Linked DNA regions of Pelodiscus sinensis. The protein of the gene in region 1 purifies or fractionates together with the protein of each later gene. This does not show direct contact. Links are inferred from orthologs where the notes say so. Each region holds a gene or a part of one and is shown in the gene's direction. Other genes may lie near its edges.

Region 1 (7,694 bases):
CAGTTTAATTACCACACTGACTAATAGAAGCCTCCTGATCTTGCCTGAAGCAAGATTTCAATGGTGCACCCTTAGAGCTAAAAGAAGCTATTTAAGAAAATACCAAACCTGGTTTTGATATAGCTGCATATCCTGCTACCTCTCTCAGGCTCTGCAGCCACTAGACTGTCGATGCAAACCTATATACCTTTTTTACTGTTCAATTTCATATTTCTAATTACTGCACAGCTGTAAGACAATCTGCAAAGCCTGATTAAAGCAGCAACCACACAGTCTTATCAAAAATTGAATGATTAAGTACTAACCCATAAATAAGTTCCAAAAATCCACTCGGATTTAAAAACTAAACAAAAAACACCCACACACTAATGTTACAGCCAACTGAAAGATATGGGAAGAACGAGCCCCATTTTAATGGGGTTAACTGTCCTTGCTTAGTCTTTCTGGAGCATGCAACCAAAGCTTGAGGAGCTTTAGCCCAGGACTTAAGGCAACAGGCCTCTTCAGTCTCCTGCTGAAGCCCCTGGGCTTTGTCTCCTCCCCCACCCGGCCCAACCCAGGGTTTAGTCTGACTCAGACTTCAAGCCCCATACTGGCATCAAACTAACAATTGTTCTTGCACAGAGGGGGGGTTGTGGTGCCATAAAATTTGAGAACCCCTGCTCAATGGGAATATTTGGACCACTATATTAATGCTACAAGATATTTGCATAAATATTTTTCACAAATTACTCCAAACTTAGCTGGAGTGGGGCAAAGCTGAGACAGGGTTTGGGGAAATGGACTGCTAATGAAAACTTGGATCAAGGCACTACTATCATTTGGTATAAGCTACATATATTCATAACACATCTTCAGAAAGTATTATAAGCCAAGTTAACAAGAGCTACTAGAATAAGCAGTGTTGCTGTAAATCATGTTAGAGTAAAGTTGGTCCAATACAAACAAAAACAGTACCTCACCCACACCGTTTACCTATTAGAATATATGACATGAAACTTCTGCGGATCTGAAGGACACTTGCAAGACACTGTAGTTACCAAGGAAACAAAAATATATACAAAACTGTCATTTTTCACCACACAACCAGTGAGACTAGGAAGGAAAAAGAGGTAACTCAGTAGGGGGAACTAGGGTGTCTACACCTTACATTGGTTACGCTAAGAAAGTTTGAGAACATTTTGTGCACAGAACTTCTTGGGGGGCCGGGGAGTAGTAAGCATGACAAGCTTAATTTCAGCACTGAAGCTTTCATGCTGCAGCCACAAGAGCTACAGAACTATTCTGAAGTTTGACATTGGAGTCTCATATTTAAATTACCACATGGTGCATCAAAAATAGCATGTACTTGAGTAAATCAGTATTGTACATGATCCCATGCTATGCCCTGCCTTGGGTGGAACATGGACTCCATTTTCAGACTTCCAGCTCCCCCCTATTATTTACAGTCTTGCTGAGATGTTTAAAACTATCTACACTGTGATTTTAACATGTGTTACCTAGAACATATCTATACTGGGGAGGAGAGGAGATATTACTTTGCTACTGAGATTTGAATGAGAACAGTCTCTTTCCTTAAAAGTACTGTTACAACCTTGGCTAGCATCCTACCAAATAGGAAACTACAATATGGCCAGGCCTACACTATATTGTCTGCAGCAGCATAACGATGTATGAAAGGGGGAAAAAAACATATACCTAACAACTAAGTGGCAAAATCCTCATATAGATGGAACTTTTGCTGATAGAAGAGTGTTTCTAACTTACACAATGTCATGGGGCAGGGCAGGAGAACTTTACACTAGCCTAATGTTTGTAGTGAAAACAAGGCCTAAATGTTACCTGTGGCAACTTAAGCATGTCCAGCTACCTTCCATTTATAATCTCGGTGAGAACGTCTATTTTTGTACAAAGTTATAATAAAAAATACGGTATAAACGAGCTTTGAAGCTTTCAAGAATGTACTTCTCCCACAGCATGAGCGAATCTGCAAGGATGGGGATATGTTGAGCCTCTATTGAGAAGGCAAGAGTCCAGCCACAAGGAATGTGTTTTACAGAACAATACCTACAGAAATAGACAAAGAATGGCCATAACCTGCTGCAAACTGCAGCTTAAGACCTTAACAAAAATGGCGGGAAGAGGTAAAAGAGCAGGAGCTTCAGATCAGCATCCGAGTACTGCGTGCCCGCCAAAAAGTTCATGCGCGTGTGTGTGGGGCGGGGGGGGGGGAGGAGGTTTAAATTCCCCGCTCCCCGCGACTGTTACCCGTACGGGTCTGTTCAAGAGGAGCGGTAGCGGTGCCTCCGCAAGTCCACCTCAGCACCCTCCCAACGGGGCAAGGGCCTGCAATCTCCAGGGTCAGAGCAGCAGCTGCGCGGAGCCCGCCATGTGGCAATGCCGGGAGACAGAGGCACCCGCCACTGGAGAGAGAAGGAAAATGGCGCCTAAAAGCAACAACCCTAGGGAGAGCGATGCCGCCGAGAAAAATTCTGCCTGGCGCTACTGCAAGAACAGGGGTCGGCTTCGCTCGCAAGATCGTAAAAAAACTAGATGCCTAAAGCCCCCCCTCAGCTACCCCGCCGGCTCCCAGCCAAGCTGGACAGGGAACCCCGGTGCCCCCACCCCTACATCACCTCCTGCTCCGTACAGGCTGCCCGCAAGGTAACAGTTACTCCGCTCCGCACACCCTTCCCTCATACCCGCCACCCCTTACTCTTCCGTGGCGGCGCTTCCCTGCAGCAGGGCTCTCCGGGCCTTTCCCGGCAAGCCGGGGTCTATTCCCCGCCATCCCGCCGCCATTTTACCCCTCCCCCTCATTACCGCCATTACCATCTGCGCCTCCCCGGACTGATCCCGGCGCTTCCCAGGCCCGGACATAGACCCGCTTCGCTTACTGCCCTCCATTGTCACCCCCAGAGCGCACGCGGCTCGCTAGAGCGACAGGAGCTCGGTTAAACCGTCTGTGAGGCGGATCTAGGGCTCGCCTCCGCGTGCGCTGTTGCCGCAGCGTGTGCCTCCGCCTCCCTCTGCTGCGCACCAGCCCAACTGCCGCCGGCGCTTCCAGAACCTTCCTCCCCTCTAACGTCTCTACTACGGAAAAGCACCAAGACTCGCCCACTGCGCCACCAAGCGTATTAGCGAACGGGAAGTTCGAACGCCTCCCGCTGCGCTAACAGCGTAACAGTTTTAAGAATATGCCTGCCATGACGCAAGAGTACTAACTCTTGCGAGCCGAAACGCACCTTGCGCAACTGTACACCCGAGACGTGCGCTATTTGCGTACCACCCACCTCATGGCCGGCGTAACCCTTTTTGAGAATACGACCCAACCTTTTTAGTAATGGCTGCCTTGTTACGTATTTTTAAATGCATCGTCAGGCAATGGTCCGTCCGCCCCTCCCTTTCCTCTAACTGTCGCCGGCTGCTTGGACCGCAAGTGGAATTAAATGCTCCCCGGAAGCGCCCGCAGTTCTGCGGAACGCTCCTTTGTGCTTTAGTAACGTAGTAAAAAAGCTCAACAGCTCCGCTAGCAATGGCTGTCTCCGAGAAGAACCGACGCAGGCGTCGTCGTGGACCAACTCCACTTCGGCAAGACCCGGAAAAGCCCGAACTAGCGCGATCCACTTCGGCAGTTTCCGGAAAGAGCCGAAACAGGCTTCCTCGACTACGAAGGTCTCTTCGGTAGTTTCCGACAAAGAAGCGGGAAAGCCTCTCGCGTCCGAATAGAGCCGAAGCTCCCGCTTCGGGTTTTTCCGGAAATTGCCGGAGCCGCCCGGAGACCGATCCCAACAGCAGCAAAAGGACTATAATTAGCCAAAGGGGCCCCCTTTCTCCACCTGTGGTGCTGGCAGAGCGTGGGCAAGGGCCACGGGGCCAAACCCGGAGCGCGAGGAGTGCGCGGCCCTGAGACCCCCTTTGTTGGCGGGGCGGCCCCTTTGCCTCCGGACGCCTGGGAGGAAGTGGCCCGATTTGGCGCCAGCAGCGAGACGCCGCCTGCCAGGCCCGCGAGCGAGGCGGACCCCGCCGTAGCCAGCTTCGCGCACAGCGGCCCCGCAGCCCAGGGTGAGTGGCGGCCCCAGTTCGCCGGGGAAATGGCGCTTCGGCAGCTCCCCTCCCCCCGCCGAGCTCAGTGGGGAAATGGCCGCGGTCTCCCACCACCCGTCTTCGAGGAAGTGGCCGCATGGTCGCTGGGCCCCGGCCCCCAAGCCCCTCTAATGCTCCCCCCCCCCCGGCCTCCGCTCGCTCCCCCGAAGTTCCCCTTCGTAGCCCACCAGCCCCTCAGCCGATGCGGGAGCTCTCCGCGGCCAGCTCGGCCTCTAGGCCCGTCCCGGGGCCGCGCCCAGGCAGGGCTGGCCGTTGGCCCGGCGGCTATGGCGCGCTCCGCTGGGCCCCGGCACTCACCCAGTCGCTCTCTCGGTCTCCGCGAGGCATCTTGCTTCGCCCAGGCGCTCGACGAGCTCGCGTCCCCGTGTTTCAAGCCGCTCTCTGGGAGAGAAGCCTTGGCTGGCCCCCCTCTCGCTCGCGCCTGCACTGGTAGCGACACGGCAGCAGCAGTGGCGGCGGCAGGAGGCTGCAGCTAACGTGTAGGCGGCGTTGTGCGCGGTGCCCCGCCGCCAGCCACCGCGCAGCTCAGCGCTCCCACCCCGCAGCAGCCGCCCCAGCCTCTGCCCCCACCCCCTCAGATGTCGCTGCTGCTCAGTGCGCGCAGGGAGCAAGGAGGAGACGGGAAACCCGAGTCGCCGCCACCGCCAGGCACCATTGAAGTCTGTATCCTTCTCTCTCTTCTCGTTTCCCATTTAATCTCGCCAGGAATTGGGTAGCGCCCAAAATTCCTTGCAGCTGGGCTCGTGTTGGGTGTAATTGCGGAGCTCCCCTCCCCCTCCCCTCGCTGCCCGCCTTTACCTGAAGGGTGGCTACTGAAGGCGGGTAGCGGCGGTGCGGGGGAAGAGGGAGCTGAGCTCCGGGATCTCTAGTGGGTGCTTTGCCCCCATAGGTAGGAGGAAGGCTCTGGGCCCTAACAGGGAGGGGAGCGCAGCGCTTAGACGCTGGGTGCAGCCTGGGGAGAGGCGGAGGGGGGTGCGTTCAGGGGACAAAGCGACGCCGCCAGCCCCGAGGGCGGTTTTTCCACTGTCCGCCCAGCTTATTCTTGGAGCGCAATGGTCGTGTTCGGTGAGGGGGCAACGTGGCGCCGGGAAGGGGCCCTCGTCCTTTTTTGAGAGCGGGTGTGTGAAATGGTGGAGTGTAGGTTTAGGCAACACGCATGACTCGCCGGCTGTTCCCTCCGCCGACTAGAGGCAGGGGCGCAGGGTTTCCTCCTCTGCGTTGGCGTGCAGGTTGGCCCTACTCCTTGCTCAGCTAGTCCCGTTAGGTCACCCGGGCCTCGTATGCGCCCATCACAGGCCTGTGGCGCAGCCATACCCTTCATTCCTGTGCTATGGGCCTTTGTTTCCCTCCTCTTCTCCCCCTCCCCCCTCCAATCGCAATGAATCCTAGATGAAGTGCCCAGCAGCAGGGCCCAAGCCTCTGCCTGTCCTTCGCTGGACTTCTTGGCTACAGTACCACCTCTCGGGCTGCAAGGGGGTGAGAATTGGGCAGGATCGCTGAGTCAAAGCCCTCCTCTGACTTCCATATAGGCTTTTTTTTGCCTTGATCATTTTGTGATTTGCAGGGATGGGTGACTAAATGTATGCCCAAAGAGGTGGTTAGTGTAAGCAACTGCATGGGAAAGAGGATGAGTTTTCTTCAGACCATGTGGTTTTTATGTAATTTATATAGGTTAATTCAATGTATATTTCTTAATTAAGCATTTTAGTCTTCGCATACAGTGTACACAGTTTTGCAGTTTGTATCTGTATTAGCCTTAACTCTTGCCTTCTGATCCATACATTTGCAACATTATAGTTTTAATATTCTGCAGTTTATATTTCCTGCTGTGTCAGGATTACTGGTAACTCACTAGTGAATTATGCTACAGATACTTTGTTGCTAACTAAAATTTCACTTTTGCATCTTGAAAATGCTGTTAAATATCTTAGTTAATTGCTTGAAACTGAACACTTTTCCTTCTTGGGTTTAAGGAAATGGTTCTCCCCACCTCTCTCTGAAACATCTCTGCCTTATGCTGGTAGGACTTTCTTGCAACCTATCATACACAATCAATAGCTAGGATCATGACTAGCATTATGGTGTGTTTGTGCATTCTGCTGGACAAAGCAGTAATCTTTTCTGGATTTAATCCACACTTGACATGTTATGTGCAGTGAACACATGGGGGTTGGAACAAGGACCATGCTTGTATGGGGATGCCTTTTTCTGAGTAACTTAAATTTCCTTTTAATTGTCATGCATTTTTCTAGTAAAGCTCTGCAAGTCTGCAATAAAAATGGCCTCCAATAAAACTACATTGGTAAGTTCATGAGCACCTAAAATATATAAGGATTTTTCTTCAAAATTATAACTTGGCATCTCCATGTAGAAGATACATCCACATCTCTCCTCCCCAGCATTATTCTGACTAAAATCTCAGATCCAGAAACTAAGGCTAATAGAAAGGACATTAACTTTGGCTTAAATAAAACTGCTGTTTTCCAGTGAAAGACTTACAAACAAAACAAAATCCCTTCTCTTTTTAATGGAGGCCTGTGCTCCAGTTCAGCTCTCTGACTTTCAGTGAAAATTACGTTTAATAACCTTTTACAGAAAACACTTGTGATTTTTTAGCCTCCTTTCAGCACCCCATGTAATTCATTGTATATTTAAAAGGGGGGGGGGAAGCATATTCGTTTTAACTTCTCCCTAGCTCCTCAGCTACAACTACGAGTGCAATTACCTAATACTAATATGATGGGGCATAGTGTGGATTGTGGTTAGAGCTGTTAGTAAATAACGATTCAATTGGATTTCATAGGAGCAGAGATTGTTTCCCCTATCTGGACCATTGTAACAGGACTTTGACATGTATCAAGTTCCTATGAAAATTCTTGATGTTAAATTGAGCCCAAAAAACTCTGAAGTTGAAGACACATAAATGCCACAGTAGTTGGCTTAGTATTCATTTAGCTGTGGCAGTACATGTTTGTAAAGGACAACAGTGTGGAAGTCTGTGCTCTATTTACCTAGTAGAAAAATAATAGGCAAATAGTACTTACTGACTAGTATAGCTAGTTTATCCCACATCCACACAAATACTAGTATCCTGTCTCCTGTCCGTTAATTGCCTAGTTATTTTTCACTGGACTGCAACTATATAACCCAGGGCTACTCAACTTTAGAAGACCCTGGGAGCCACAATGATACTCACAGAACATGCCAAGGGCTGCAATAAGTGTGGTTGCATATACATACAAATATATATGCAAATAGTTTCTTTCACACTGACAGGCATGAATACAAAGATTAAGCAAGACTACACAACACACAGGCCCCGTTTAAGTCAGTTCTGCTGACATTAATAAAAAGCAATATTTGCTGTCATATGCGTGGAAATCGGGTACTTTTAATGATCAACGACAGTCCAGGAATTTAACTACTAAAACTCATTTCAATAGAAGACCGTTATATTGACTACTTTTTTGTTTTGGCTCCCACCCATGGGCCGCAAACAAACAGGCCGCCTGTTGAGTAGTCCTGGTTTAAGCAATAACATTGCAAACAAGTTATCAAGCTAAAAAAACTTTTACTGGAATTTAGTA
Region 2 (7,345 bases), on another chromosome or scaffold:
GGACAAGTTTGTTCTCAAATTGTTCTTCACGTATTTCATTCTTGAAAATGTTTGTTCACACAGGTATGTTGTTCCAAAGATTGAAAGGTACCTTGATGCAAAAGTTTTGACATTAGGAAAGTCTTCCTTGGGCAAAAACTGGTAAAAACCCACCAGTCCTATTTTGAACTTGTCCCTAAGGAGGTCATTTGCTTGCAACTCAATGACTTCCAGCTGCAGTTCATCTGGGCAACTGGCCACATCTGCTTCAAATGGGTTTTGAAACAATCTCACTTCTTCTGCCTTTGAATCCAAAAAGGTCTCCACGGGCCGGATGAGAGGGCCTCGCGGGCCGCATCCGGCCCCCGGGCCGTAGTTTGGAGACCCCTGCTCTAAGCAATCAGCTGAACAAGAAGTAGGACTGCATGGACTTGGAGGTACTAAAGTTTTATATTGTTTTGTTTTTGAGCACAGTTATGTAACAAAAAAAATCTACATTTGTAAGTTGCACTTTCATGATAAATAGATTGCACTATGGTACTATCATCAGATTAATTGAAAAATATTTTTAGAGTGCATATATTTTTACTGTAACTACTAAAGTGAGCACTGTATACTTCATAGTCTATGTTGTTATTGAAATGTATATATTTGACAATGTAGAGAAATATCAAAATATTTCATTTCAATTAATATTCTATTTTTCAATATGATTAAAACTGTGATTGTGAATGATTTTTTTATTACAATTTTTTGTGTTAATTGTGTGAGATAACTGCAATTAATCAGCAGCCCTAAAAATTAAGTTATATAAAATAGCCAAAGTATAGTAGCAAGTGCTTACTGATGATTTATAAACCTAAACAACTGATCTACTTAAATTTAGAGTAGGTAATCAATTTCAATAAATCAATAGCTGTGTTCATATGAATTTCCCCACAATAACTGACAGATTAAAATTAGGGCAGAAGCTCCAATGGATAAAATTATCTAATCCCCCCTCCCAAACAAGGTATGAGTGTGCCTTTTAGAGTGATGTATTTCTACCCAGCTCCTATAACTCCAGAATGGCTCAGCTGAACTTGCTTTACTTTTTTAATCCAGGTTTGAGCTCAACCATGAAACTTTTCAATTCCAAACTGGAAAAAAAACAGAATATAAAACTGGTGGGGTGGGGTGGGTTGGGGGGAGAGTTTGAATACAGTGGCCTTGTATCAGAAGGGTCCTGAGGGACATGTGGGGCTCAGGGCAGAAGTAACAAATATTTTATTTCCAGGACCAATCTTGTCACTTTCAAGATTGGTTCTGGAAATAATTGTGCCGGCTTGCAGAACCCCCCGCTCTCTCCCAAGAACATGGCCGGGTGCAGTCACCCCGATTCACCCCAGGGATGGCTCTGCTTTATATGATGACATTCATCTTGCTTGGTCAAAGAGGGAGGGGCACTTTTTTAAATATATTTAATGAAAAATGAGGAGTGGGATATTCCTGCTGCTTGTGAAACAAATTGGACATTATATTTAGCTGAAAAATGCTGAAATTTTATTTTAGTCAGTACACAAATATTCTTTCATTTTAGATCCGCTTCTAATTCCAGATCAATGGGTAGAACAAAATTATGGTTCTGGTTCGGTTCCTGTTAAAATACCAGCTTGAATTTGTTCTTCCGTAAAACACCCCGGACAAAATAGATTATCTGAGCAGTTCAGATGCAATGTTAAGATCCCTAAGTGCTCTGTGGCAGTTTTAAAATGAGCAGCAGAGGGACAGAGAATGATTCTAAGTATCTAAACCAAGAGTGGGCAATAATTTTTGATGGGGGGGCGGGCGGGAGAACACTCCAAGATTTTGGTAAGTGATCAAGGACTGCACTTTTCTATGGAGGGGGTCTGGGATGAAGGTTAGGTGTGGAAGGGAGCTTGGATTAGGGGGTTGGGGTGCAGGACAGGTTGTGGGGTCAGAAAGGGAGTTTGGGTGAAGGAGGAGATTGTGACCTGGGGCAGGGTTTTGGGGTGTAGGGTCTGGGAGGAGGTATGGTTATGCAGGAGAGAATTCTGGCCTGGGGCAGGAATGTAGGAGGAGGTGCAGGGTCTGGGAAAGAGTTGTGACCTGGGGAAAGAGGGGAGAGGGAGTGCAGAGAGTTTGGATGGTGACCTGGGGCAGAGAATTCGGATGTTGGAGGGGCTGGGGTACCAGAGGCAGGCTGTGGCCGGGAGGCTCTTACCTAGGCCACTCCCAGCCAGCAGTTCTGCAGGACCCTGAGGCAGACTCCTGGGAAGGGTTGGGGTGAGGGCTCTGGCTGGAGGTGCGGGCTCCAGGTCTGACCAAATATCAGGGTTTGAAATGCAGGAGAGAGCTGGGACAGGTGTGCAGGAGGGAATGGGGACTCCAGCTAGTGGTGGGGGTTCTGGGTTGGGGCCAGAAATGAGGGGTTCAATGTTCAGGCAGGGATAGAGGGTCAGGGTGCAAGATAGGGTGAGGAGCTGGAGGTGCATGCTCTGGGGTGGGGCTATGGTTTGGGGTGCAGGAAGGGGCTGGGGAGGGAGTTCTTGGCAGTGTTCTCAGGTGGTCCAGGGAAGCTGCTGGCATCTCTCTCCAGCTCCTGCACTGAGACAGAACCACATGGTTCTGCATACTGTCCAAACCTGCAGGCAACACCCTCTCAGCTCTCATTGGCCATGGTTACTAGCCAATGGGAGCTGCTGAGCTGGCGCTGGAGGCAGTGCGTGGAGCCCCCTGAGCTATCCCTCCACCTAAGACCCAGAGGAAGCTGCCCGGCAACTCCTGGGAGCACCATGGAACCAGCTACAGAGCCTGCCTGCTCTGCCAACCAGACTTTTAATGCCCACCCATCAGCAGTGCTGACAGGAGCCACCAGAGTGGGTGTTCCAGTCAAAAACTGGACTCCTGGCAACCCCACCACAACAGACAGAGCCAGTCTTAGGGGTGGGTGAGCTGGGTGTTACCCAGGGCTGCCATTTTCAGGAAGACCACATTTTGGCCTGACCTCCCGAATGCCCCTGGTTACTCCCCGACCTCCCCCCCCCTTTTTTTTTCCTCAACAAATTTTTGTCTGGTATATTTTTTAAACCATCTGGCAACCCTATGGGCAAGCTGGGTGGTCGCCCAGGGCTGCCAATTGGTTAGGACCAGGACCGTGACAACAGACTGTACTCAAGCATATCACTAATATAAACTGCATTCCCCAAAGGAAAGTGCCTCAGAGCCCCATTGCAGAGAGGTTATGGAAGGAACCACAGCAAACCTCTCCCCTGCTGCTAAGAGAGCCATTAAGGCAGCAGTGCAAATACATTACAACATTGCTTTAGTTTAGATGGTCTAGGCCAGTGAGAAGAGTGATGGAAATGTAGCCGTGTTAGTCTGGTGTAGCTGAAACAAAAAACAGGACTATGTAGCACTTTAGAGACTAACAAGATGGTTTATTAGGTGATGAGCTAATAAGTGGGTCTGGCCCATGAAAGCTCATCACCTAATAAACCATCTTGTTAGTCTTTAAAGCGCAGCATAGTCCTGTTTTTTGTTTAGGCCAGTGAAGGCCAACTTTGCCTTGTGAGGGGCAGCATGACTGGCCCTCTTTTGTCTCAGGGGGCTACAGGATAGTTGTAACCAAGCCAGTCTCCCGGGACTGGGTCGTTTCACTAACTGCACTTGCACACGCAGCATTTGCAGGGCACCGATCGAACCGAAGCAGCAGGTTGATTGGCTGCAGAAGGAGCCGGGGGCTCTCAGTGTTGTGTGCACTCAGCATGCACCTCATTGCACGTGCCCCTCACTAGTAACACCCACAGGGGGGAACCAGCAGAATCCCAACTCCAGGGTGCAACGGCAAACAAAATGGCTCACGGGCCACACGCCCGCCCCGCTGGGCCACAGGCTGCTCCAGGCTGCGTAACGGGCCGAGGGGAAACCCGGCAAAGTAACACGCGGGGCGGGGCGGGGCGGGGCGGGCCCCCCTGCAGTGGCCGGGCCTGTGCCGGGAGAGCAGAGCCTGCCCGGGCGGAGCCATTTCCCGGCACCGATGCGCCCCGGGGCCCGGCGTCTCGCTGCTCCGACCGCCTCAAGGCGCGGAGGGCGGGGCGCGTGCCGCCACCCCGCCTGCGCGCGCACTGCCAGAGCTCCGCCCCCCCCCTCACGTGCACGGGGCTGTCGGGAGAATGACGCAGCCGGAAGGAGAGACCGTGCCCGGGCGGGGCAGTAACCTCTCCGGCCTCCCCGTGGCTTCCTTCCGCCAAGCTACCGGGCTTAGCGAACTACAACTCCCAGAACGCCCTGCGGCGGGAAGGCGCTCTCCCCCCCCCCCGTTTACTGTGTCTAAGCAACCTGTCGGGGGATTGGCCAGCAGGGACGGGCCAATAGGCTTTTCCGGTGCATGGGGGACAGTGAAGCTAACGCGCTCGTGGCTAGCGTGTGATGCCCGGCCGTGGGGCGGGGCCTGGTCGGGGAAGGCAGCACGTGTCCGGCGCAGCTGCTCTTAGCCGGGCGCGGGGAGCCATGGAGCTGGAGCCGGAGCCGGGCGAGGTGAGCGGCGGGGCAGAGAGATGCTGCGTCCCCGGGCCCTGCGCGCGCCCCGGCGCCCCCCTCTCGCCCCGCGGGACTCCGGGGGCCCAGCGCTGCAGCCCGGCGGCCCCTGTGAGACGCCCCCATCCAGCGCCTTGCCCAGGGATCCGCGTCGGCTTCCCGCTGCCCTGGCGCCAGGCTGTGGGCGGGGAAGCCCGCTCCGCCCAGGGGCTGGGCACGGAAGGATCCTTCGCAGCCGCTTTCCTGAATTCAGTTTGTAAAAGGGTCTGGGTCGCGGTGCGGCAATGGGCCCGGCTGGGGGTAGACCAGGCTCCTGGAGCGGTGGGACTGCACTCAGTGGCGCCTTCGCTGTCGGCTTTTTGGTTCTTCTACCCCATGGCCGTAGGTGTGAACGGTGCTCCTGACACTGCCTCTGGGGAAGAGTTCAGACTCGGTGGGAGCAGCCTGAAGCCCTGTGTTCCTTAATACAGTGTTTCTCAAACTGTGCTCAGCGGCTCCGTGAGGGTGACAAACTAGAAACATTGATAGGTACAAATCATATAATCAGGGGTCCGCTGGGGCGCTGCATACATTTTTACGCATGTAAAGTGCTCCAGAGCCCAAAAAGTTTGAGAACTGCTGCCTTAATACAGTAAAATTCCGATAATCTGGCACCTTTAGGACCCAGGGGGTGCTGGATTATCAGATTTGCCAGACTATCGGAAGGGGGGGCTATGAGGGGTCTGGGGTGGGGTGGGATGCCACCTCAGACCCCTCATAACCCCCCCTTCCGATAGTCCGGCTCTGCCCCAGGCGACCCCGATTCAGCCGCTGCTGGTCAGTTTCAGCAGCGGCTGAATCGGGGATGCCTGCAGCAGAGCAGCTGGACCTGTGGCGCGGCAAGACCAACCCGGCAGCACCCCAGCTGCTCTTGGGGATGCTTGGGGCAGAGCAGCTGGGGTGCTGCCGGGTTGGTCCCGCAGCCCTGCTCCTCGGCGCTACTGGACCAACCCGGCAGCACCCCAGCTGCTCTACCCCAGGTGTCCCCAAGTCAGCTGCTGCTGAAATTGATCAGCGGCTGACTCCAGGAAGCCGGAGGCAGAGTTACTCTGCCCCGGGCTTCCTGGAGTCAGCCACTGGTCAGTTTCAACAGCGGCTGAATCCAGATGCCTGGGACAGAGCAGCTGGGGCGCTGCTGGGTTGGTCTGGTAGCGCCAACCCGTGGCACTACCAGACCAACCCTGCAGCACCCCAGCTGCTCTGTCCCAGGTGTACCCAAGACAGCCGCTGCTGAAACTGATCAGCGGCTGACTCCAGGAAGCCGGAGGCAGAGTTACTCTGCCCCGGGCTTCCTGGAATCAGCCCCTGATCAGTTTCAGCAGCGGCTGAATCGGGGACAGCTGGGGTGCTGCCGGGTTGAGTCCTGCAGCTCTGAGGGGCAGCACTACGGGACCTAACCGGCAGCACTCCAGCTGCTCTGCCCCAGGCTTCTCCGATTCAGCCGCTGGTCAGTTTTAGCAGCAGCTGAATTGGGGAAGCTGGGGGCAGAGCAGCTCCAATGGTCCGGGTGCCTGGAGCACTTCCGGGTTCCTGATGGTGCCGGACCATCAGATGCCGGACCATCGGAGTTTTACTGTAGATCATTTTTACTCCAAGGCAGAATCTGTTTCTCTGTGTCCCAGCATGTATGTGATTGTTCTTATTTTGGGGAGGGAAGAATAGGGAAAGCAATGTAAAGTACAATGTTTGGAGGCTGAAGTTTTGCTCAGACCCTAAAACAGGGCTACTCCACTTTGGAAGCCTTGAGGGCCACAATGATACTCACAGCACATGTCGAGGGCTGCAACTTAAGTGTGGTTGCATATACATGCAAATATATGCAAATAGCTTCTTTCACACTGACTGGCACAAATACCAAGATTAAGCCTTAAGCTGCGGCACCGGACCCAAATGTGGCCAGTGTAAACCAGTCAGCACCTCTCAGGCTCTGCCCACAAGGCTAAGCAACCAGCACTTCCCACAATGCCCCGGTGCTCCCGGCACCTCCTCCTGACACCCTGTTCTCGTCTGTTCTAGCCAGCCCGTCTGCTTGCATCTTTCAGTGCTCATCCTGCCTGGGAGATGCCTTGCCATTGTGGAGCATGTTCCCAGTGGAGGCCATGTTCAAAGGATCCCACCCATGGGCCATGTGTTGAGCTCCACATAAACCCAAACCACACTATGGGCTGTAAACAAACGGACTGCAGCCCGTTTGTTGAATAGCTGTGCCCTAAAAGCGTATGCCACTAACTTACCACCTGAGAGCAGAAAAGGGCCAGTGACCATAAAAACAAGTGGTCCTGTGGCACCTTAGAGAATATATAGAATCATGAGCTTTTGGGGGCAAAACTTCATCAGATGAATTGGAGTGGAAATAACAGAAACCTATATAGATAAAAACACATCAGAAGTACCACCTGTCAGTTGTAGGACCTATGTTACTGAGGCTAATTAAATGGACTGGATGTCTCCCATACGTAGCTTTTGATGTGGAAATGCAGATGTTAATGACAGAAGAAATTGGCTTTGTAATGCACCAGCTAGTTAATGTCTTTGTTTAGAGTAAGGTAACAGGTGCCAAATGTATAGATGAATTCCAGTTTTGCAGACTTTCTCTGTAATTGGTTAGTGAAATTCCTTTGTAGAAGAATGGCTACTTTTAAATCCTTGATTGAGAGACATGACGGGTTTTATGTATGTTACCATTTCTGATTTCCAATTTGTGTCCATTTATCCTTTGTCGTAGAGACTGTCCAGTTTGGCCAATATACATTGCAGAGGGGCATTGCTGGTACTTGATGGCATATAT
Region 3 (7,166 bases), about 96 Mb from region 1:
AGGGGTTCTAGAAACTTCAAAAAAGACATAAAACATTAACAAATGTATGACATAAATGTACAGGTATTGCTAAGAGTGAAAAAAAATTCTTTACTGTTTACTGTTTAATTAAATAATATACAGTGGGTCAGAACTTCCACTGGCTTAAATTGATACAGTTCTACTGAACAGAACTAAAATGATTTATATTAGCGAAAGAAGTGGCCAATTATTTTTTTAAGTATGTGCTAGTTCTCTGTGGGTTGTGTGGTACTTTAAGATGTGTGGTTAAAGCACCTTTGAGGCCTGGAACATTAAGGACTGGAATTGTTCTAAGCACTTGGCAGTTGGAAGCAGTTGTGGGTGGATCTGGGTTGGAGATTGAAACCAAGAATGACATGGGGATGGACAGAGCTTGTGGAGAAGACCCCTCTCACTGTGCTAACTTGACTCATTTTTGGTGTTAATTTATGTTTCTTGTGTCTGTGGCTGTTGCTCTGACTCAATTAAACTCAATGTAGATGATTTAAAAGGCATATTTGGTTGATTGGCTTTCGGGACCAGAAAATCCCAGTGGATTTCTTTGATGGGGTCCAATATGAAATAGCAAAGCGATCTGTGTAGCAGCAATTACAAAGAGCTCTCTGGTCTCAGCGGAAGAAAAAGAAATGTAAAAACAGCATGTATGGAAAAATGGACAGTTTCCATTTGGATGAAAAAAGATGAGGATTTTGAATGCTGACTGCAAAGGATACAGTTTTTTAAAAAAATAGATTTTCCTAAGCTTAGTTAGAAACTGAAAAGAGAAATCTGCAGTCCTGAAAGACTTATGTTACTTTTACTCCTGATCTGAGTGATCACAGAAATGATGAATACTTGACATTTTGGGAGTAAATCAGGCTTTCAAAATATACTTTCTGGCTGAGAGGACTGTTTCCAGAAAGAAGAAGAAAATATAACTGACATCCCAGCTAGTCTCAAAAACTGTCAGCAATGTGCTGTTTTGTTAAATCCACAAGAAGCACAAATCCAGATGTCAGCAACTGAGTATTGTTACAACCGCTGGCTATCATCCATAAGGAAGCACATGCTACCTGGGAATTCCTATAGAAGAGTGGAGCTTCGCTGTACTCCAACATGCTTCCTCCTTCCAACAAACCCTATGCCACAACTGGGAAGGTATGTGTAAGGATGGTTGTGCTAGCTTTACAGCCAACTGACAATTTCCCTTCTACCAAGATAATTCTTTACTGGACAACTTGTGGCCAAATTATGTTCCCTTTGTACTGCTCATGTAGTGCAAAAAGGACAGAATGGGACTGAGAATCTGGCCCATATTCAGCAGGAATAAAAGATGCCTGCAAATTGGTGTAAAATAAACCTTTGTTGTTACCATCAGTTATTATAAAAGTAGATGGTCCTTCATTAGTAAAGAAAAATAGTTCTTACTCAATTTCATTCAGATCAAAACAATAGTTCTCATCTATGAAAAATCCATAGTAGATAAAGTTGTAACCTTCCTATTCTATGTCTCATCTGCAACTTCTCCTCTTACTCCCTCCTATGCTGCTGTCCTAAAGAAAATTTACTTTTGAGAGGGGATAAGTGTGACATCACTAATGATCTGTGGGAAAATAACCTCATAAGTAAATCACTTCTCCCTTCTTCTTATCCTCTGCTTTTGCTCATAAGAACTGCCATATTGGATTAGACCAAAGGTCCATCTAGCCCAGTATCCTATCTGCTGACAGTGACCAATACCAGATGCCCCAGAGGGAGGGATCACAACAGGTAATCCTCATGTGATCCCTTCCCTGTCACTCACCTCCAGAGAAACAAAGGCTAAGGACAACATTCCTAACCATCCTGGCTAATAGCCATTTGATGGACCTAACCTCCATGAATCTATCTAGCTCTTTTTTGAACCCTGTTAAATTTCTTGCCTTCACCGCATCCTCTGGCAAGGAGTTCCACAGGTTGACTATGCGCTGAGTGAAGAAAAATTTCCTTTTATTTGTTTTAAACCTGCTGCCTATTAATTTCATTTGGTGACCCCTAGTTCTTATATTGTGGGAATAAGTAAATAACTTTTTCTTATTCACTTTTTCCATATCAGTCAGGATTTTATAGACCTCTATCATATCCCCCCTTAGTCTCCCCTTTTCTAAGCTATAAAGTCCAATTCTTTTTAATCTCTTCATATGGGACCCATTCCAAACCACTAATAATTTCTGTTGCCCTTTTCTGAACTTTTTCCAATGCCAATATATCTTTTTTGAGATGAGGCGACCACATCTGTACGCAGTATTCAAGATGTGATGTGGACGTACCATAGTTGTATATAGAGGCAATGAGATATTTTCTGTCTCATTCTCTAACCCTTTTTTAATGACTCCTAACATTCTATTTGCTTTTACTCTTCCTTGTTATTGTTTTTATTTAGTTTTGCACACTGCTCTTCTATATTTCAAGGACAAATTAATTTTAGAGCAGGGGCACAGAAAAAGGCACATAGACTTAGGCCACAATCCTTCAAAGTCTTAAGCATGAGCTCAAAATCAATTGGATTACTCAAAGTATATGAATTTAAGGACATGCTTACATCTTTATAGAATTCAAGTTTTAGTGCTGATTCTACAAGGTGCTATGCTAAGCTCTTCCTGAAAGATAATGAGTGCTAACTCCTACCATCTTAAATGGGACTTGAAGGTGCTTAGACACGGTATGATTCTTCACAAAAAGACAAACACACTACAATGATATAAAAGATGTACCTATTTTATAGATAATTTAAATTAGATTCTAGGTAAATAGTTCCATTTTTAATTCAATAATTATAAAATATTGTCTGAAGGTTAGACAAACTCAGTAGTTCAATTATAGTGCTCAAAGGTGAATTTAAAAGACATTAAGATAATGTCATAATTGTAATTTTTCTAATTCATTTTAAGAACACTATTATTTGAAAAAAGAACAGATGCTGTTTGTTTTATTATGCTTTGTTACAACAAAAAGGTATGAATATTAGTTTTGTGGGATTGATTGATTGATTGTTGTGCTTTTGGAAAATGTTGTGTTTCTAAGTAGCTACTATGTTTTACACTTTACTCTTATTAATTATTAGACTATTGTCAGTGATTTAATGGTAAGTATATAATATAAATCAATTAGGACATTTAATCTTTTCTGGTTTTGGCAATAACAACAGACTTTCTTATGTGGCATATGGTATAACTTTATCAATTAGAATATATTTTCCTTTTGCTGCTAGCTTGTCTCTTTGGCTAGGTCTACAATATAGGGGTTTTTTTTGGAAAAAGCTATGCAAATTGCACTCCGCAATTTGCATAGTTTTTTTCAATTGTTTTTCTGAAAGAGGCTTTTCCACCATATGGCCCAGTCTAGATGGGACCAAATGGCGGAAAAGCCTCCTCTTTCAGAGGAGCCCTTATCCCTCGTAGAACGAGGAAAACAGGGCTCCCTGAAAGAGTGAGTTTGCTCTTCTGAAAGAAAAAAGGTTCCTTGGATGTGGCGGAGTTTTTCCGCGATACCTCAAGTGTATATGTACCCTTTTATATGTTGAAATAAAACCTCTTTTTATTTCAACACTATTATGGAACACATACATAATAGATGATCACCCAAAATTGCTATGTGGTAGAAATTATTAGTCAAAAAATAAAGTGATAGTGTACTTATTGGAACATTGAATATGAAAATCATAAATGTCCTTTTCATATTTTTTATAAAAGTGTCTGATAACAATTTTGATGAATAACTGAATATTTTATTGGTATTTACTTTTTAACATGAATATATTGTCTACTTATGTTCGATTTTGACAAATTTTAAAAGATTTGTTCAACTGGATAAATATGTATATGGTTTGTTTATAGCTGCATTGAATGAAAGTCCAGCCCCACTGAAGTCAATGGTAGAACTCCAATTGACTTAAATGGGGCCATAATTTCTCCCATTTAGGTATAGTTAAGAAAAACCCTTATCATTTTAATTCATTGGTAAACCGGTTGAAGATGAAAGTGATACAGTTCAGAAAGTTTTTTATTTCTAATAGAATATCATAATTATAACTTCTTGTTTGTATATTTCTTGCCTTTGTTTGCCATTATCTGTTGTCTCCTCATGTATCAGAGCTCAATGTCCAGGTTCCATAAACAGAGGATGTCCTCTATATCAAGAGATGTTAGTCATCGTATACTGCCCCACTACTGTGGGTTGTGTACTCTTCCTCCACCAGTTATTGTTTGCAACTATGTTCCATGAGGAGGAAACCAAGCCAAGCCAAAGACTAGATGAAGCTGTCAAGATCTACAATCAAATGAAAAAGAAGACAAGTACAATGATAGACTCTTCAGTTTACTTAGTGTTTTACACAGTCTTTTCCACTGAAGCTTCCTCTCTATAAAGACATGGTTTTCAGCTGCTGGGAGAGCTGGTCACCAATAACAGTGGGCCAAAAGTACGTGAGCTACCATGGCAAAGGAGTGTCAAAAGATCAGCCATGCTGTCACACCTGGTCCACAAGAGTGGAACTCCTCACCCAAATATAAGCAGAACTTAAAGTGTTGGTACTGTGCATTGTTTCCTACCAGAGAATATGGCATATGTCAACCAGAGATGTAATCAGCTAGTGCCATCTGTCACAGCCCTCCAAGCAACTTTAACAGTAAAAACATCTCATTGAAGGTCTGGCAGAGCTGTGTGTGCTAGCACATCCAGACTGGAGGTTAGTGTATACTTCAGTTAGCCCCTAATAATAAAAATGGCTGAGTTTAGCTATGGACAAGCTGAGTGTGATGGCTGCACCTCTAGCCTCTGAGCAGTATTCATCTGGAGCAAATATGAGGGCCAAGATAGATGTATGAATGAAGAGTCTCTTCCCCTGGAGGTTCCTGATGTTTTCATATCAAGGCAGTACAGGTTGGATGTTACAGATGGAGCTGGTATATCAGGCTAGGTTGAGTTTTACTCCCAAATATGTGATAACTGGATAAAATAGCAAAATAGGTTGATTGGCAAAATAATTGTTTTGGTGGAAAGTAGTTGGCATTCTCTTGGTTTCACTGAGATTTAGGGCTCATCTTCACTACTGTGCTATATCAGTGATATAGAAATAAATGTAGTGGCATCCATTTAGCTCATGTGATGAAGATGCATTACATCGACAGAGGCATGCTTTCCCTGTTGATGTAATTAATGCACCTCAAGGAGAGGTTGAACTATGTTAGCAGGAGAGCATGTCCCACCAACGTAGTGTGGTGTAGATAACCACTGTAAGTCAATGTAAATTAGGTTGCTGAAGGTGTGGGTTTTTCATGATGTAATTTACATTGACTTAAGAGGTATTGTAGACAAGACTTTAGTCTTCATTGCTAGAAATCAGTAGTCAGAGTATCCAAGTATGTGGTAAGATTCCTTTCAAACCTCTGGAAGTCATTTCCAATGTTAGCAATATAGGTGATGACAGTTTAAATTCTATGTTTCAACTGTATTTAAAAAAATCTCTTGTGACAGCAGGAAATTATAATATTGTCTTCAAAGATAATTGTCTTCATGGGATAAGTGGGAAGGTCATTTCATGGATTGAGAACTGGTTAAAAGACAAGAAACAAAGGGAAGCGATAAATGATAAATTTTCAGAATGGAGAGGGGTAACTAGTGGTGTCCCCCAAGGGTCAGTCCTGGGACCAATTCTGTTCAACTTATTCATAAATGATCTGGAGAAAGGGGTAAGCAGTGAGGTGGTAAAGTTTACGGATGATACTAAACTGTTTAAGATAGTCAAGACAGAAGCAGACTGTGAAGAACTTCAAAAAGATCTCACCAAACTGAGTGATTGGTCAACAAAACGGCAAATGAAATTTAATGTGGATATGTGTAAAGTAATGCACATTGGAAAAAATAACCCCAACTATACATACAATATGATGGGGGCTAATTTGGCTACAACAAATTAGGAAAGAGATCTTGGAGTTATTGTGGATAGTTCTCTGAAAACTTCCACACAGTGTGCAGCGGTGGTCAAAAAGGCAAATAGGATGTTAGGAATTATTAAGAAAGGGATAGAAAGTAAGACACAGAATATCTTACTGCTCATAAAACTATGGTATGCCCACATCTTGAATACTGTGTACAGATGTGGTCGCCTCACCTCAAAAAAGATATTTTGGCCTTGGAAAGGGTTCAGAAAAGGGCAACTAAAATGATTAAGGGTTTGGAACGGGTCCCATATGAAGAGAGGCTAAAGTGACTGGAACTTTTCAGTTTAGAAAAGAGGAGACTGAGGGGGGGATATGATAAAGGTATATAAAATCATGAATGGTGTGGAGAGGGTGAATAAACAAAAGTTATATTATTAGTTCCCATAATAGAAGAACTAGAGGACACCAAATGAAATTAATGGGTAGCAGGTTTAAAACTAATAAAAGAAAGTTCTTCTTTACACAGCGCATAGTCAATCTGTGGAACTCCTTGCCAGAGGAGGCTGTGAAGGCTAAGACTATAACAGAGTTTTAAGAGAAGCTAGATAATTTCATGGAGGTTAGGTCCATAAAAGGCTATTAGCCAGGGGATAGAAATGGTGTCCCTGGCCTCTGTTTGGTGTCCCAGAGGCTAGAGATGGATGGCAGAAGACAAATCGCTTGATCATTGTCTTCGGTCCACCCCCTCTGGGGCACCTGGTGCTGGCCTCTGTCGGTAGACAGGCTGCTGGGCTAGGTGGACCTTTGGTCTGACCCAGTACGACCATTCTTATATAAGATTTATGTCTATATCTTATAAATGGATAGCTCTTGTGGGGGGAGGAGGGTAGATATTGAGTATCTATGAAGAAGGTATGTTTTTCTTATAGGTCACATATTCTTTAAAAAATCCAGCAAGCTTGATCTTAGACTTGTGGGAAGATCACAGCTGATTCAAGAGCATACATGGATATAAGCAGGATAAATCACCTACATGGGTAAGATTAAGTATACAACTATCAAAAAGTAAGGATGCTGAAAATCAGATTGCTGTCCTGTTGAACTACTCAATAAGAGATCCACTGTCTGTGTTGTCATAGACCTCTAATCACTATATTACTACATAGTTTGATATCTCCATTACATTGAATTCTACTCATATTTCTTAATGTCTTCCATTAGTTTAGAATAATCTTTAATTTGCTG
Region 4 (6,965 bases), on another chromosome or scaffold:
AGATTTTTTCCTGTGTATTTCAGAGAGACATTTGAACTTCATATTTTTTTAAACAAAATCCAGATTGTAAATGGTCCCCACATAGATTAAAGATTCTCAGAGACACTCGCCACAAAAAGGTCTACTTGTTTTCATTCCAGTGACTCTTCAATATATATCCAATGTATTTTATTAGGCCCAGTGTCTAAGTCATGGAAAGTCACAGACTGAGAAAGAAATGGATATCTGAGAAAATGGTATTATAATGCTGGAAAGCATTATGAGTACCACACAGTTGGAAATGATGCTGTGAACCATATTAAGCTGGTGGGTCACATAAATCTCAACAAACTAGAGGACCTAGTCTTTGTTTTAGGCCTTCTTAACCAATCTGCTATCCTAGAATACAAAATTAATTATGTAAATATTATGAATACATCAATATCTTAAACACATCAGTGAACTGAATAATTGATTCACAGCATTGCAATACATTTTTCTTGGTAATCAAAAAGCCCATAGGAGGAAGGGATTTCAATTGATATTACATAAATACGTGAGCATGATTTTAATCTAGTATTATATCTATTTGTACCACTTCTTCTTTGTTCTTTTCATCTGGGTTCTACTTTTGAGTCTTTTGTTCTTTCTCTGGGGATCCTTTCCTCCTTGAAGTTCCTATGTAAATCCTTCTCTTTAAATACACACAAGAAAGTGTATTTTTCTGTATCTTGAAAACCCTGTAGAGGGGATTCTAAATGCAATCTGAAAAGTGAGGGACACATGAACATTTGACTTGTGGTTTGGAAATTTTTGTGTTATATTTTGGAGTGAGCTGAAGACAAGTGGTATTGTGATGCTTTTAGCAAAGGAAATACTTTGGGAGATGGGAGTTGCAAAGGGGGTGTACAACTACTTTTTAGGGCTTTGGCTCAGAGGGTGAAGTGGGATAGAAGGGCTGCTGTGATAATCAGGGTGGTGTGTGGTTTTTTGTTCTTGATGATTACTTGGCAAGACTTCTCCCTCAGACTCTATAACACAAAATTGGGCTGGGAAGAATTGCTGTGAACCAGGAGGCTGTCCCTTTGCTCTTTCTACATCAATTTCCAAGTGGAAATCCAGAAGATTGCATGATGCAAGCTACACATTACAAAATCACAATGAAAACATATGAAGTTGTGACAGAGCCAACACTTATTGAAGTCCTCGAAAGTGGGTGCTGGGAACCAACATTTGAGCCTTTAATTCTCCCAAGGTGGAAATGTTGGGTTAAAATTAGAGGATTAGAATCAACTAGAGGAGTGGAGACCAATGAGCAAACTGGCCCAGTAACACAGAGATATAAAACAACACGGGAAGGAGATGTAGGAGAGGGAGACAAACTGGCAGGGCCAGAACCAGGAAAGATCTCTGGGTAGAGATCTCTTCTCTTGCCTCTCCTTTGCACAGCACTTAGAAGAAAATGAAACTGTAAAAAATATGGTGCATGGATCAGTAGAGTAGCAGGAAGAGAAAATGTAAATAAAACTGCACTGTGGTGTTTAACAACTAACAGTCTCTGAGTCTGTGTAGACAGAGCGGAAGACGGTAGCAAGATGTTCCCCACCACAGACCTGTTATATTGCAAACATTGCGAAATGTGATCACTGACGCAGCAAGCAACTGTTATTTCCAATGATAATTTGTCATGAAAAATATCAAGAGCACAATGACACTCATGTGCACAATGATAACAAGATAAATGATGAAGTATTAAGAATAATAAAAATACAATTTTAAAAAGTAAATAATTAAAAGAAATGAAACTATATTATAGGAGATTACAAGTAAGGGCAATCACAATAGCACATAAGATAAATCTGTAAATTACTGCATGAGGCTTTATGCAGACTTACATAAAGGATTCTTTTAAACACTAAAAATATGAAAATTACAATTATTTAGGAATTATGCAAGTAAAATAGTTAACTGAATCAGGTCTCCTTTGGCAGCTCAAGACAGCCCAGGTGTCCCAATGCCTAGCTAAATGATATGTCTACACTGGCAAATTGTTGCGCCAGAAGTATGCAAATGAGGCTAAGCGTGGAATATTGCCGAGCCTCATTTGCATATCTAATGAGCCGCCATTTTTGCGGAAGAGGCTCTTGCGCCAGAAGGAGCTGTCTACACTGCCCCTTCTTGCGCAAGAAAAACCCTCTTGCGCAATGCCATTATGCTGATTATTTTCAGGAATAACGGCAATATAACAGGTCTGTGGTAGGGAACATCTTGCTACCGTCTTCCACTCTGTCTACACAGACTCAGAGACTGTTAGTTGTTAAACACCACAGTGCAGTTTTATTTACATTTTCTCTTCCTGCTACTCTACTGATCCATGCACCATATTTTTTACAGTTTCATTTTCTTCTAAGTGCTGTGCAAAGGAGAGGCAAGAGAAGAGATCTCTACCCAGAGATCTTTCCTGGTTCTGGCCCTGCCAGTTTGTCTCTCTCTCCTACATCTCCTTCCTGTGTTGTTTTATATCTCTGTGTTACTGGGCCAGTTTGCTCATTGGTCTCCACTCCTCTAGTTGATTCTAATCCTCTAATTTTAACCCAACATTTCCACCTTGGAATGCCGTTATTCCTGAAAATAATCAGCATAATGGCATTGTGCAAGAGGGTTTTTCTTGCGCAAGAAGGGGCAGTGTAGACAGCTCCTTCTGGCGCAAGAACCTCTTCCGCAAAAATGGTGGCTCATTAGATATGCAAATGAGGCTCAGCGATATTCCATGCTTAGCCTCATTTGCATACTTCTGGCACAAGATTGCGCCAGTGTAGACATAGCCCTGGTGTATAAAGTGGCCACTAACCTTGTAGCCAGGAAGGCTAACGGCATGTTGGGGTGCATTAGTACAGGTTTGTTTTCCCTGTTCTGGCATTCTTGGAACCTCGCCCGTCCCAGACAAGGGAGTTTTCCACCAGGACTCCTCTCCCCAGCTTCCTGGCCCTGCAAGATGCAGCAACCCTGCCTGAGCTCCTGGCCTGTCAAACTGAGGCAGTCCCACTGGAATTCTGGCAGCCTTACTAGAACTCTCAGCAGCCCTGCTGACATCATGGCAGTCTCGCTGTCCCACACAAGCTCCTGGTGCCCCTGCTAGCTGTGGGCTGCACTGCCACATGACCTCCTGCTCCCTTGTTGGCTTCCCTGCCCCGCCGGCTGCAGGCTCTGCTCCCCGCTGGCTCTGCTGCCCCTGCCAGATGGCTCCACTCTGAACTGCCAGCAACCTCTGCTGCTGGGGCTCTCCAGTCCCGCAACATCTGTGGTCCTTTCAGACCATGGATGTTGCTGAACCAGAGAGTCCTAGACCCCAGAAGTTCAACCCATACAACCATTGCCAACAGATCTAGAGAAGTGATTATTCCCCTTTATTCGGCACTGGTTAGGTCACATCTGGAGTACAGCGTCCAGTTCTGGGCCCTCCACTACAGAAAGAATGTGGATGCATTAAAGAGGGCCCAGTGGAGGGCAATGAAAATTATTAGGGGGCTGGAACACATGACGTATGAAGAGAGGCTGAGGGAATTGGGCTTATTTAGTCTACTGAAGAGAAGAGTAAGGAGGGATTTGATAGTAGCCTTTAACTACCTGAAGGGGGGTTCCAAAGAGGATGAAAGAGGCTGTTCTTAGGTGTGACAAATGACAAAACAAGGAGCAATGGTCTCAATTTAGAAACACTATTTCACTAGGAGGGTGGTGAAGCACTGGAATCTCCATCTTTAGAGGATTTTGAGTCCCAGCTTCACAAAACTCTGGCCGGGATAATTTAGTTGAGATTGGTCCTGCTTTTACCAGGGGGTTGGACTCGATAAGCTCCTGAGGTCTTTTCCAACCCTATGATTCTATGTTAGTGGAATAAAGGACATTTTAGCACTTCCTGAAACAGCATGAGCCTGATCTACCTGTGACTCCACCCTTGCCAGCATGACAAAATCATACTGCACTGGGGACACCATTTTCAAAGCGAGTTGCTCCATCCTCACTGGCATGATCTCGCATGCATTGTGTGTGAGGTCATACCACACAGGGGGACACCATTTTCAAGAGCGAGCTGCCCTGCCCTCGCTGGCTGATCTCACATGGATGGTGAGTGCAAAATCATGCTGCATGAGGGGCAAAGTCTGCAGAAGCGTGCTGCGCTGCCGTGCCCTGGCAGGCAGCACATGAGGCTGTGATGGCGGGAACAGAGCAGTGTAGTCTGCCCTGTCCGATACCAGGCAGAACTGGACGTTGTCTTGTCCCAATACAGGATAGGTGACAAACCAGCCAAAAAGACAGAGCTGGATGGGTGGCCTCCCTGCATGTGTCTGGAGGGCCACAGCACTGTAAGGGGGGTGCAGAGACCTGCCCCCCATCTCTCCAAACAGCTGCTCACCCCTTCTGTGGTCGCACTTATCCCCTTACTCCCCCTCTCCCTGCCACAGCCTTGCAGCGCCTCTCCCAGAGGCAGGCTCCCGCCCTCGCCGTTCCCTGCCTCCAGCTGTTTGCTCTGCCCGGGGACTCAGTTTACTCCCCTCTGCTCTCCCCCACCCTCGCCGCCGCGCTCTCTAACTCTCCCCTCCCCCACACGTAAGGGCAGAGTAAGGGCACTGAGCGGCTTCAACAGCAGCTATTGAGCCCGCGCACGCTCAGTAACGGCTAAGCGGCCGTTTGCGCCTGCGGGGCGGGGCGGCAGGATATTGATCGCCGCTCTCCGCCCTGGGAGGAGAGACAGGCAAAGGAGCGCCAGGCGGCAGGGGCCGGCGGTCGCGGCGGCAGGAGACAGGCGAGCGAGCGGCGTGGTGGGGCTCGCGCTGAGGCCAGCCCTCGCTCTGCGCTCCGCAGTCGGAGGCAGGCGGCGCTGCGGCGAGACTCGGGAAGATGAAGCAGGAGGGAGCCGGCCGGGGAGCCGCTGCCGGGCTCGGCGCGGCTGCGGCGTGGGGCGCGGAGGGCGAGGCGGAGAAAGTTGTCTACTCCCGCTCGCAGGTGTCCTTCGCCGGCACCAAGGCGCTGGGCGACGCCTTCAAGCTCTTCATGCCCCGCTCCACCGAGTTCATGAGCTCGGACTCGGAGCTGTGGAACTTCCTGTGCAGCCTCAAGCACCAGTTCTCCCCGGTCATCCTGCGCAGCAAGGACGTGTACGGCTACGCCTCCTGCCGGGCCGTGGTGCCCGAGCTGCCCCCGGCGCCGGCAAAACGGCCCCGCCGCGGAGCGGCCCGGCGGCGCCCCCTGCCCGCCAAGCGCAGAGCGCCCGGCCGCGCCAGGAAGGGGAGGAAACGCGCCCCAGCCCTGCCCGTGCCCGCCGGTCCCCAGGGCAGCGAAGCGCAGCGGCCCCGGGAGGAGGAGGAGGAGGAGGAGCAGGCCGGCCCGGCCGAGGTGCCCGCGTGGGCTCCCCTGGGGGGCCAGTCCCTGGAGGAGATCTGGAAAGCGGCCACCCCCAGTCTCACCACCTTCCCCACCATCAAGGTGCGGGGCAGCGTCTGGAAGCCGCGGAGCTTGGAGGCGGCGCGGCGCGAGGCGCAGCGGATCCTCCGAGTGGACCTGGCGCCCGTAGTGAGGATGCGCCGCTTCCCCGTAGCCAGATCGTGAGACGCTGCCCCGCCTGGAAACTGGGGTATCTGGAGGGGAGGCTCGTTTTCCTCTTGGGAGGAGCAAGCAGAAACAATTGTCAGTCACCTGTTTACATTGCTTTTGTCTGGATCTTGTCCTTCTACTGCACTTTATGGCTCAGACTGATGGGACCCTTTTCCTCCAGAGAGCCATGTCCCTGCCCACTCCATCCTGGACTGAGAACCTGGTTGGCCCCCAACACCAGTGTGGCTACCACCCTCACCTGGACTGAGGCTCTTCTGTTTGTGTTTCTTAGTAGGGCCAGGATCCTTACCCGTTATATTTCAGTCTGAGAACTGTTTGGCAGGCATCTCAAGTAGGGACCAAGGTCTATTTCCTTCCTTCCACTTTCTCCCATGGGACTACCTCACTGGTCTGGAAGTCCACCCAAGAAGTTATTTTCCAAAGGAACTTGCTATCATGCTTGTATAATAAAGCACCATCTGACTCTTGTTTCCTTTTTTCCTCCCTAATACATTGGATTATGTATGTTTTTGTGATGTTGCACTAGTATGTGCTCAGGGTATCTTGAATCCCAAGTGTTCCCAATTTCAACTGACTGAAGCTTTGACCAAGGATGCAAAAAAACAAAAAGGTTCAGAACTAATGGCTGTCTCAATGGTGCAAAAGTTTCCTTGGTGATCTATAAAAGGGTGTACTGTGTAGCATATTTTTTTGTATCTAAAATCATTTCTAAAGTTTTATAGCTGAATTAAGTATTCATTTTTATGGAGCATCAGAAGCCAGTTGAATCACTCTTATTTTATATAACTGTCTACTTCAATGACACTTATTTGGTCAATGTAAGTGAATTTAATAAAAGTGAAAGAGCAACTAATGCTGTTTCAGTACATTGAAACTAACCGCAAAGGGATGGATAGCTTGTTGGATAGTTAAATACACCATCTGGAATTCAATGAAACAAGCAAATTGTTTGGCATATTTACTTCTCTAGTAAACCCCAAAGTTACCTAAGCTGAGGAATATTTATTTGAAATTATGTGTTTAGGAAAAAAACTGATTACTAGAAGGCAAGCAATATAATGCTAGCTAGTAATTAGTTAAAGTGATCAAATATCAGAATTTTAGATTTATGTAAGTGCCTTGTTAATAGAAGTAACAATAGTGTGGTAGCTAGTGCCTTCTTAGTTAAAATAGCACAGGCTGTCACTTCAGTGTCTAGTGGTGGATGTTCATATTAATTCCTTTGAGTATTGTTTTAAATCTGCTGCAGCTAAAATATGGTATGCACTGGACTCAGAGATTGTTAGTTTATAGCTTGTTTTGACTGAAGCTTTGTGTGTTGGCTGTCTTGTGTTGTACAAATGCCCACTTTCAAGGCAAACTACAGAGCCTTT

Evidence for each region.
Region 2: the proteins of CBX3 (region 1) and L3MBTL2 purify together in Homo sapiens (affinity purification with mass spectrometry; 5 studies listed by BioGRID and IntAct, with this or other methods). This does not show direct contact. The link is inferred for Pelodiscus sinensis from reciprocal best matches to the Homo sapiens genes CBX3 and L3MBTL2.
Region 3: the proteins of CBX3 (region 1) and ADNP2 purify together in Homo sapiens (affinity purification with mass spectrometry; 3 studies listed by BioGRID and IntAct, with this or other methods). This does not show direct contact. The link is inferred for Pelodiscus sinensis from reciprocal best matches to the Homo sapiens genes CBX3 and ADNP2.
Region 4: the proteins of CBX3 (region 1) and CCDC71L purify together in Homo sapiens (affinity purification with mass spectrometry; 3 studies listed by BioGRID and IntAct, with this or other methods). This does not show direct contact. The link is inferred for Pelodiscus sinensis from reciprocal best matches to the Homo sapiens genes CBX3 and CCDC71L.

What each region holds. Positions count from the first base shown.
Region 1 is NC_134712.1:197,287,313-197,295,006, reverse strand, and holds the start of CBX3 (chromobox protein homolog 3), read left to right. Parts: upstream 1-4,685; coding exon 4,686-4,766; intron 4,767-4,825; exon of another isoform or gene 4,826-4,996; intron 4,997-6,359; exon of another isoform or gene 6,360-6,385; coding exon of another isoform or gene 6,386-6,409; intron 6,410-7,694. Other genes in the region: HNRNPA2B1 (heterogeneous nuclear ribonucleoproteins A2/B1), read right to left, coding at 2,833-2,907.
Region 2 is NC_134711.1:89,383,009-89,390,353, reverse strand, and holds the start of L3MBTL2 (lethal(3)malignant brain tumor-like protein 2), read left to right. Parts: upstream 1-4,328; 5' UTR 4,329-4,410; coding exon 4,411-4,518; intron 4,519-7,345. UniProt on the Homo sapiens protein: Putative Polycomb group (PcG) protein. PcG proteins maintain the transcriptionally repressive state of genes, probably via a modification of chromatin, rendering it heritably changed in its expressibility.
Region 3 is NC_134712.1:100,918,287-100,925,452, forward strand, and holds the start of ADNP2 (activity-dependent neuroprotector homeobox protein 2), read left to right. Parts: upstream 1-4,157; 5' UTR 4,158-4,726; intron 4,727-6,850; 5' UTR 6,851-6,958; intron 6,959-7,166. UniProt on the Homo sapiens protein: May be involved in transcriptional regulation. May play a role in neuronal function; perhaps involved in protection of brain tissues from oxidative stress. May be involved in erythroid differentiation.
Region 4 is NC_134711.1:26,194,387-26,201,351, reverse strand, and holds CCDC71L (coiled-coil domain-containing protein 71L), read left to right. Parts: upstream 1-4,698; 5' UTR 4,699-4,878; coding exon 4,879-5,586; 3' UTR 5,587-6,446; downstream 6,447-6,965.